3 linked regions of the Drosophila melanogaster genome follow. The protein of the gene in region 3 interacts with the protein of the main gene of each other region in a pairwise test. Each region holds a gene or a part of one and is shown on either strand. Other genes may lie near its edges. The genes, in order: Spase25, CG6290 and CG42495.

Region 1 (3,756 bases), on a different chromosome or scaffold from region 3:
GTTATTTAATAATTATAATACCTATTTGTGTGTAATGATTTTGACAATAAATCTTTTGTGTAATTATACAAATGGATTTTAGTGGGAAATTTAAATGTTTTCATACAGCAAATGGAGTTGACAGCCATTTGGTTGCTGTTATTACTCGTCTTCTATTTTATGCGTCTTAAAATTCAAATATGCGCGCCATTCGTAGCATTAACCAACACTGTACCAGCTGGCAATGTAAATTGGTATATTTTTGGTATATAACTATCGACCCTCGGCCATCACTAACATGCAGCGTTGCCCCATCCCATCTAACGCAAGTACCAAACTAATTTGGCCATCTGGCAGCACTGGTCAAAAGTGACACGGCGACAACCAGCTTAAAAGCGAAAGTTAACAATTAACAATTGCTGGCGTCCATAGCCAAACACACGAGCCAGAAACTGGAGCCACCCCAAAGCCAGAATGTCGCACGCCATCGACGAACTGCAGGCGATCATCGCCGATCTGAAGACGGAGCTGGAGACGGAGCCGAAATCCAGTGGCGGCGTCGCTAGCAACAGCCGCCTGGCACGCGATCGCATCGATCGCATGTCCGCCGAGGTGGTGGACTCCAATCCGTACAGCCGCCTGATGGCCCTGCAGCGGATGAACATCGTCAAGGACTACGAGCGCATTCGCTACAAGGCGGTGGCCATTGTGGGCGTGGGCGGCGTGGGAAGCGTCACCGCCGACATGCTTACACGGTGCGTGCACAACAAGAAGAGAAGGGCAACAGTCATTGTGCACCACAGCTAGCACTCCAAATATGTTGTCTTTAATTAAAGGCTATGTATTAATCAATTGATTTCCTGCAGCTGCGGCATTGGCAAACTGATACTCTTCGACTACGACAAAGTGGAGCTGGCCAACATGAACAGACTGTTCTTTACGCCCGATCAGGCGGGCCTCTCCAAAGTTGCGGCCGCCGCCGCTACCCTGAGCTTTATCAATCCGGACGTGGAGATTGAGACGCACAACTACAATATTACAACGGTGGAGAACTTTGATCGCTTCCTGGACACAATATCGCAGGGCGGACGGATAGCTGGCCAGCCGGTGGATCTGGTGCTCAGCTGTGTGGACAATTTTGAGGCACGAATGGCAATCAATGCAGCGTGCAATGAACGCAATCTCAACTGGTTTGAGTCGGGAGTTTCGGAAAATGCCGTCTCGGGGCACATTCAGTTTATCCGTCCTGGCGATACCGCCTGTTTCGCTTGTGCACCACCCTTGGTGGTGGCCGAGAACATCGACGAGAAGACGCTGAAGAGAGAGGGCGTGTGCGCCGCTTCATTGCCCACAACTATGGGCATTACGGCTGGCTTCCTTGTCCAGAACGCATTAAAGTATCTGCTGAATTTCGGCGAGGTCTCTGACTATCTGGGCTACAATGCCCTTAGCGACTTCTTTCCCAAGATGACGCTCAAACCGAATCCGCAGTGCGATGACAGAAACTGTTTAGTTCGGCAAAAAGAGTTCCAAGCCAGGCCCAAACCTGTGCTGATCGAAGAGAAGGCAGTCAGCGAAGAGCCGCTGCATGCCACCAACGAATGGGGCATCGAACTGGTCGCCGAGGATGCGCCAGAAAGTAATACAACGCCCGCCGAAACCCCAGTGATGGGTGAAGGGCTGAGGCTCGCCTACGAGGCTCCTGAGAAGTCCAGCGAAACGTCAGAGGAAACTGTATCTGCAGCTACCGCGGACGAAACCAGTCTGGAAGACCTGATGGCGCAAATGAAGTCCATGTAAATTGATTCCGTACTCCGTATTTATAGACACTTTTTGTAAAACACACACTTTTTTTTTGATAAACTCAGCTTCGATTTGTGTAAAACTTGGGCCGAGCCATTTTTTATTTATTTATATATAGTAACTTTTAGTCACTTGATTAAATGCTTTATGCTCAAAATTATTTGAATTACGCGGGAAATTTCAATTCTTGCAGTTTCTAGTATTTCAGTATTTTAAGCTTCCCCTATCTGGCAGCACGGTCAACTAGTCCGTTATCGATTGGCAGCGATAACGATTGACAATTTTGTTGTCGCGTTGTCACACAAAAACGAAGAAAACTCCTGAAAAAAGAAAAAAGAGTTTTTCTGAGCATTTCGCAAACTTCTCTTGGAAATCAAGGGCATCAAAACACAATAGAGAGCAGATAGAAGATGGGCAAGAAGGATGAAAAGTCACAGCAAGGCGAGGAGGTGAGTAAACCGGTTGCCGGCTTGGCATTTGGTCCATTAAGATGTGTTCCACGTCATTGTAGAATGTAAATGTAAACTAAGTGAATATGTGCATAAACTAACTCCATCCTGTTTCATGTGCCCTGCCAGCTGGTGAAGGTCAACAAGTGGGATGGATCCGCAGTGAAGCACGCCCTCGATGATGCAGTGAAAACCTGCCTCCTTGGCGATCGTCCCCAGCTGAAGGAGCAATTCGGCCTGGTCAACACCCGTTTGGCCCTCTGCGCCCTCGCCGTTTCCGTGGCTATAATGGCCCATGCTTGGGACTTCACCCACCCCTTCCCGGAATCCCGTCCAGTGCTCCTCTTCAGTGTTTTGGCCTACTTTGCACTCCTCGGCATTCTGACCCTGCACTCCAGTTTCCGCGAGAAGGGCACCTTTGCGGTGGCCCTGCAGAAGGACAAGGAGCGGGAGCGCCTGTGGGAGGCCAGCTCCGATATGCGCAAGTACGACGACAAGTACCTGCTGACCCTCAGTGTTCGCGACACGAAAAATGGCAAGCGGCGCGAGCAGAGCAGCAACAAGTCGTGCGCCGCCTTCATCGATCAGAATGGCATCGTCCTGGACAACCTGGTGGCCAACGAGGTCAACCGTCTGTTCAACGCCTTAGCTGCCGACAAGAAGAACGCTAGCAGCCTTTCTTCTAATTAAACCAAATTCCCCACTTTTGTCTCATTAAATTGTACACTTTTGTGGTAAGCCGACTGTTTGTCTTTTGTAATAAGCGGAAAAACTATAATATAAAATGAATTCTTTGATTTACAGCTTAACATAAATTGTCTGAATCTGATAGAAACTTAACCAATGATTTGTGGACTATTTTATTATAATTTCATGGGTTCAGCTGCAAAAATCTAAAAGTTAAGAGGGCGGGGATTCCGGTGGCGGCAGAGGAAGAGGAGAGGGTGCCCAAACTGGAACTGGCGGCGATGGGGAAACCCATATTGCGCTGATAAGGCCATTGATATTAATTCCATATTTAACCTGGCTGCCTTCCCAGAAGTTAAACATCAAAATTGGGAGTTGTCGATGTCAAAACGTTTATATATATATATCAATGTTTTTATATTCCAAAAGCTCATATTTGTGACATACTAAAGATTTTGGCTACAAGAGAGTAATGTACGTAATGTAAAGTCTATATGTACGACTAACTCATGTGTTTTTAAAAGATTATTCTATTTGTTATTATATTTATTCACAATGTGGAGATGTCCCAATCCAAGTGTACCCAGAAATCCGAGTGTTTTTGACCTTCTTCCTGCGGCGCTCCGGCTTCCTTTGTCATCATCATCTTTTTATTTTTTCAGATATCTGTATGGGGCACTACGGTTCCTTTTCCCATTTCCCATTACCATCTTCTCTTTAATTTCTACATATTTCTTATGTCTTTCCAAAGCCTCAATTTCTGACATCTTCTGGGCCATTTTCTTTTTCATAATCATCTGCTTTTCTAACACCTTTGCTGCCATTGTATCCTTGGCCG
Region 2 (3,400 bases), on a different chromosome or scaffold from region 3:
TGACTCGGCTCGTTTCCGTATCTCCCATCTGGACAGCCTTCAGTAGTCGAGTTGCTGTGGTGACCCCAATGGCCTTCTCCTCGGACCACTTTCGATCGGATTGCTCAGAAATGACAGTTCGCTTTTTGCTTTATTGCCTCTGCCTGAGGAATCTTTATCGATTGGGGGTGACTCTTCGGCGGTGACCTTTTTAAAGAGCAACAAATAAGGTTGAGTTCTTAAAGGTATGCCACTTTAAAATGGTAACCGGATTCCAAGTTTTGGGTCACCTTGGTGATATGTTTAGTTGAGCTCACAAGCATTTGTAGTTTAAAGACGGAGTACACGTTTTTTTTGACTCTAATGCCGTTTGGGGTCACCTTTTACCAAAGGTGATTGGCCTTAATTGGCTACTACATTGATAATATGATGGGGTCTTAAAATGGATGTAATCTATAGTACATATTTGAATGAAGACGTAATCGTAATGTTTTTGGCCAACCCAGAAAACATGCCGCTCAACACAGTTTCCGGTTTTCAGTTGATTTTATTGCACTTATAAACAAACAAAAAAAATACACTCGATGGTGGTCGTCAGGGAGCTCGGTGATTCTACGCCGTGGAGTTGGCCGTTTCGGTGATCTTCTGGCGCACCTGCTGCACCACATCCGCTACGTTGTTCACAAACGAAAGCCACATGGCCTTGATTCTGGTGCCCAGGCCCAAGGGATCCGCTCCGTCCATATTCTGTGTCACTTCCATGCCCTTCTCCTCCTGCCGTCGTCGTCGCACCAACTTCTTGTTCTTTTTGCCAGTGGTCTTGGGACTCACTCGGGATCGGGAGGCATTGTTGGCGGCCCGCTTTTGAGCTCGTCTCCGTCTGGCCTCCACGTCATCGTCGGCGGACGCCGCTGTGGTGGCGGCAGCGCTCATTTTCCAGAAGCAAGGAGCGCGTTTGAGGCGATGCAGGCTCCGCCGCCTTCGCTTCCGACGACGATCCTCCTCGGATGAATCGGTGGCAATGGGACGTATGGCATCTCCATAGCCAACGGCCGTTTTCGAGTGCACGGACATCAGGGGATTGTCAATGTCGACGTCGCGGGAGATGGCGGCGCCACTCTGAACTGCCTCCGCTATATTTCCGGCCAGAGACATGGCGCCCATGCCCAGCGACTCTAGCGGATTCTGTGGACCTGGCCTGGCCGCAATCATGGCCAGACCCGCGACAACCAGGAGAAGTGCCAGCTGATGGCGATTCATCGTTTCTAACTGTAAGGTTGCGGCATTGCATCCGCGCTTTTTAAGCCATCGAATCGCGTGATTCCCTTCGATACATATCGATTTGAATCCACACCATGGCACCGATGGCTAGTAGAGATCACAGTAGGCTTTCGGATTGGCCCGACGACAGCTGTCAGGTGTCACCGGACTGGTTGAGCTATCCAGTCAGTATCACTTGCTCGCTCAGTCGGTTCAGATCGGTTCGTTTTACAATTTTTCCCGCTACAGACTTCGTAAACAAATTGTATCAAAATCTGAATTTGAAAATCAATTTTTGGCTATCCACACTCGAGCTACACAACCTCTCGTCAAAACTTTTAAGTTTACATCGCGACAAACGGAACAACAGGGAATCATGAGATCCAGCAAAGTTCGTGGGGGCAACGCCAGTCGATTGGCTGACGCGGAGGGACAGTGGGGAAAGGGATGCCTGGGTTCCCAGCACTCAATTATCAAGAATCACGGGCGTGGCCTTTCATCCGTGAGTAAAGGAAAGCGTGTTATAAGCTCAATTGTATGAATATTTTACAAAACGAAATCAAAAGTTACACATCGAAAACGGCCTACTACTTGCGCACATTAGACACTCATCTAAATATCATTTAAGCCAGTTCAGAATAAGGATAAAATTGTCCTGGTTTAGCTTCCATTCTCATCCGTTTATTCCTCTAACCTATGCAGCAAACTCCCACGCAATTTGGTGGATTCTCGCCGTCGGGACAGCAGTATCCTGCCGTGTACTCGCAGCCAGGATTCCGGGCCGATGGTAAGCTGAAGGTCACGCCCAACTCGCTGCTCCAGCAGCAGCAACAGCAGCAACAGCAGCAACAGCAGCAACAGCAGCAACAGCAGCAACAGCAGCAACAGCAGCTCCTGGCGCAGCAGCAGCAGCAACTCCTGGCCGCCACATCGCCGCAGGTAGCAGCTGCATCCGGACCAGGAGTGGGCGTTAGCGGTGGCGTGGTCAACATGCCCAGCTATGCGGACCAGATGCACGCCGCCTTCCTCGATTATCAGCGCCAACGAGCCGAGTTCGAGCAGCAGCAGCAGCACCTGCTGCAGAAGCTCTACCACTACTATCCCGATGTATCCGGCGGCCTAACATCACCGGCTCATCAGATTCAACCCCAAACCCCCCAGATAGCTGCTCCCGCCGATGTGGGAGGCGCTCCGGCGGGCGTGGCAGCACAGAACGCAGCTGGCCGCTTCGCCTACCGTCGGCCGCAGTTCAGCAACAATGGCCTGCAGCCCGAGCGCCTTGCATCCGGATCCATTGTGCCCGGAGGTCCAGTAAGAGGAGGTCCAGTTGGAGTCATCCCGGGAGGAGTGATCGGATCAGCGCCTTTGCGCTCCAACAGTCTGGGAGGGGGAGCAAGTGGAGACTTCTACTCCACGCAACAGCACATGGGCTTCATGCAGCAGCAGCAGCAGGACGTGCTCCGTGACCAGCAGCAGTCGGTGGCCCATCAGTTCGCCACCAGCCAGTTGGCGCCCACCACCCGCCAGAGCTATGGGATGGCCGTTCCCATGTCCTCCGTGCTGGGATCCCCCACCTACCAGCAATCGCCGGACGTCTCTCATGTGAGCTTCTCAAGCGGCAATCTCAACTACAGCTTCTAATGATGATGAGCTGTTATTCCAAGGACTTCCAAAACTAGTATTTTCATTTTTTTTTCACACACCTTTTTTTTTGCGTAAATTTTCGTGGTATTTGATAAGAGGAATTGTTTAGGGCAAGCAAGAATAAATTTTGTAAGTGATGATAATTGTTGGTTTTTAGAGGGGTGGATGCATTTCAGGCTTATCAAATGGTGATTATGGCTTACGAAGTTACGAGGGTTAGATTTGCCTGAAGAAGAGTTTGAATGTGCACTTCTGGCCTCGAGTTATGTACTCTAGTTAGTTGCTTAATTAGCCCAAATCCATCCTATATGACCCAACAGCATTTCATTACTAATAAACCATCGGCACGTGCTCCGTGGAATCTAGCTGGTCAGTTAACTGGCCCCACTTACCAGATTCATCATGGCTAATGATGGGTCATTCCTAATCGGCAACGCTCATCTTTAACACGCCGCCGAGCTCACGTGCAATAAATGCATTAATATTGCTTTGAACGGACCGCCTTCGCATTGGCACA
Region 3 (3,426 bases):
ATGCCTAAAGTGGAATAGCGTAAGCATATATTACTATTTATGTAAATTATTGCCATTTTAATAGCTTACTACACTAAATGGGTTTTCTGATACTAGAAATCGTACTTAGAAAACAGGGGAGCATGGCTGCAATAAGCATTAGCATTTGACTCGCATGTAACCTCCATCCCATCTACCCGATCACTCCCAATTGGTCAATGGGTATCTGCTAACTTAGTTCTCGGGAAAAGAAGAGAAGAAAAGTAAAATAACATTTGCTTGTTTCCGTTTCATTCTTTTTTGTTGTCGTTGTTGTGCCTCGTTTCGCCCGTTCTGTGTCGTCTGCCTGCCCGCATCATCATCAACAATAAAAACAACAACCACCGCACCACTAAACACCAAACACACCCAACGCCTTGCCAAAAACTTCCAACATCCAGACACCAATAGCACGCACCACCATCAGCAACATCAACAGCAGCAGCAGCAGCAGCAGCAACACCACCACCAGCAACACGTACTGCTGTTGCAGCAACACCAGCAGCTTCAGCAACATCAGCAGCAACAGCAACAGCAGCAGCAGCAGCAGCATGTTGCCTTGGATGGCTACAGCGCCACATTGGCCAATTTGAAGAAGCAACGCTCGCTTTCACGCACCGCCAATGTCCTCAATACTTTCGAATTGTCATCCCAAACAGCTAGCAATGCCCATCCAATTGCAGCAGCTAATGCCACAACAACTAATGGTTCTGTTTTAGGAGCCGGCGGCAGCAGCAGCAACAACAACAACAACCTGAGCACCAGCAACAACAACAACAACGGATCCGCACCGATCTCGACGCAGCCAACATTGGGTCACATGGGCGCGGGAAGCGTGCTATCCGACTTCGAGGGCTCCTCGCCGGCGGGCAGTTCGCTGAACAAGTTCAGCGGCATCACTGGCGACGTGGTCACCGATAGCACCAGTTCCAGTCGCAGGTGTTGCGTCCTGATGTAGAAACTTAGCGAACTACTAGAGTCACAGGGTATTAGAGCAGCCAGAATTGTCAGAGGGATAGGCCATTTGTTAAATGGCAAGAAAAAAGTGTCTTTTTATTAGATTAGCCGTATTCAGTGAGTGAATTGTTGAATGTTGATTACACAAATGCATGTTGGTTTTGAGAACGGGGTTCGATTCTGTGAGCTCCTAGATAACGGCTGAAAGTCGTTGCATTTTCCTAGCAGACACAACAACACACTAAAGACACACACAACCAATTATACGAAACAAATTTATACAAATATACAACCATATGTATACATTTTAAAGAATATTAAAAGAATTACGTATAAAATAATTGTGAGCAGTTTACCTTAGGCGATATATAACAACTAACTAAATCAAAATGAAAAAACATCAAAAAATATTTATATAGCAATGCTAAGTAAGAACCTAACTTAATAGATTTGCTTGGAGTGCATTAGGAATATCTGTGTTTCCGTGTGTGAGTGTTACAACCGAAACAGGCGAAGTATTATGCAACAAGTAAATATTTAACTAAATATATAGTACGATAGCAAAATTGTAGTTAAACCGTGACAGCAAAGTAAAGCAAAGCAATGAGACGAAATGCATAGCACTCAAGCAATTTCCACATATAAGTGTCTAAATGTTTGAATTGAAGGAATGTTAATAATGCCAGGCGGCATAGAGATTTATTTTTTAATGCAACTACTTTGCTCTGCGTTATGTAAGTTGAGTTTTGTTGAGAGGTACAAGAATATATGTATTATTTATGTAGCAGCGGTCTTTGTATATAAACCTACACAATTCCAAAAGATGCAAAAACAACGCGCAATTAGCAAATGAGACTTTTTCGATGAATGTCAAGGCATTAGCTGAACGTTTTGTAAAATAAACAAATGAAATACGAAAAAATTACACACAAATTTGATTTGATTTTGCGCCAGTTAGTTTTTTATATTCCTGTGCTTATATTTCTTATGAAGAATGAAGTTGAAGTAAATATCTACTCTTTTAAATCTCGCGCCAAGGTGCTCCACCTGGCGGGATTTTAATGAACCGCAAGCTTGTCATATGGAAGTAAGTTGGCAGCTTTGCGCATCAGCTGTTGCCTCGTTCGACTTTTGTTTACATTTTTATTGGTTTAAACTTATAAGTTTAAAGATCTAACCTAATGGAATCACTCGCAAAATATCGATACAGTTTGGTGGCTGGCTCCTTCGCAGCTGCAGGAAGCTTTTTCGGAAAACTTCCCAGCCACCTGAGCGCCCAAAAACTACTGAATACTTCGCAAATAAATGAAGACTTTTCTTATTTAGGCAAGATTGTGATTTCTTCAAACAAGCAAAATGTTTATAAATTTATAAAATTTTATTTTATTTATTAGAAATAGCATTACTTCAGCTGCTGCCACTAGTGTTAATGGTAACATGCAACGTTTGCAACTTGCGTTTCTTTTTGAAGGCCCTGCAAATGACTGAACAAACTTTAACGTGCGTCGTTTTAACTGCCGCTTCGAATTATGTCTTATCGGTAGGTGATCCACCGATCTATTTGTTCAATTATGATTACTGTTCGTTATATAGTTTGTCCTAGGTGCGCTTGTTTATCGGGAGCCACTGACAGTACTATCTGGCATCGGAATAACTCTCATTCTGGCTGGTCTTTGGTTTCTTTGCGACGGAGGAACAGTCGAGTCCGAAAAGCAGGACAAAATGGAATAGTAGGAATGGGATTTGCTTAAGATTAGCTTCTTTTATACACATTTTTCATTTGCCATATAACTTTCTGAAGCAGGGATAAAAATAGTTAAAGAAACTTAATTTTCCATTTGTAACTTTAAAATATAAAAATGTTGGGAACCCCAATTAGTCCAAAAAAACGAATGGTTTATATACTTTTGTTTAATGTATGTACTGTTTTGCAAATACATAGTTTTCATTTCATTTATAATGCACTGTTAGTGTGCACGCTTCTTCATTCACGCGGCAATAATTACAACTATTATGTTTTACGTGGTTTTGTATTTTTGTTTTCATCGTTTGTGTGTAAAAGTTTGGCAGAACAAAAAAAGGTGTTGAAATGGGATAGAGCATGACAGTAAGAGCACAAACTATAAATATATTTATCCCTTCGTTTATATATATAGGTAATAGTAATTAATTTTTATAATTCAGAATCGTTATTTAATTGCTAAGACGTATAAATACTTTTTATATTCTTTCTCTCGACATCTGTAATCATCAATCAGCTTCAACGCAGCCAAACAGACAAAAAGTAAAATCAAGCAAGAAATGGCAGATCCAAGTTACATACAAGTTTTGCCCATCTGTCGTTTGTTTTCCTTGGACGAAGTAGTGTTGTGTCCTGTCCTATCCTGTCTGGGAGTTTTAGAAACCCTTGGAGCGCTTACTTTCCTGTATTTAGTTGTAATTCTTTCGTGT

What was found.
Region 1: the proteins of CG42495 (region 3) and Spase25 interact in a two-hybrid assay, tested with the Drosophila melanogaster proteins (one large-scale study listed by BioGRID).
Region 2: the proteins of CG42495 (region 3) and CG6290 interact in a two-hybrid assay, tested with the Drosophila melanogaster proteins (one large-scale study listed by BioGRID).

What each region holds. Positions count from the first base shown.
Region 1 is NC_004354.4:11,483,201-11,486,956, forward strand, and holds Spase25 (spase 25-subunit), read left to right. Parts: upstream 1-2,049; 5' UTR 2,050-2,192; coding exon 2,193-2,231; intron 2,232-2,360; coding exon 2,361-2,921; 3' UTR 2,922-3,366; downstream 3,367-3,756. Other genes in the region: Uba5 (Ubiquitin-like activating enzyme 5), read left to right, coding at 454-734, 846-1,779; CG33235 (uncharacterized protein), read right to left, coding at 3,569-3,756. UniProt on the Drosophila melanogaster protein: Component of the signal peptidase complex (SPC) which catalyzes the cleavage of N-terminal signal sequences from nascent proteins as they are translocated into the lumen of the endoplasmic reticulum.
Region 2 is NC_004354.4:18,435,343-18,438,742, reverse strand, and holds CG6290 (uncharacterized protein), read right to left. Parts: upstream 1,254-3,400; 5' UTR 1,240-1,253; coding exon 592-1,239; 3' UTR 510-591; downstream 1-509. Other genes in the region: CG32548 (uncharacterized protein), read left to right, coding at 1,942-2,880.
Region 3 is NT_037436.4:18,665,279-18,668,704, forward strand, and holds CG42495 (uncharacterized protein), read left to right. Parts: upstream 1-2,082; 5' UTR 2,083-2,156; coding exon 2,157-2,301; intron 2,302-2,369; coding exon 2,370-2,515; intron 2,516-2,568; coding exon 2,569-2,706; 3' UTR 2,707-2,857; downstream 2,858-3,426. Other genes in the region: MYPT-75D (myosin phosphatase targeting subunit 75D), read left to right, coding at 420-976.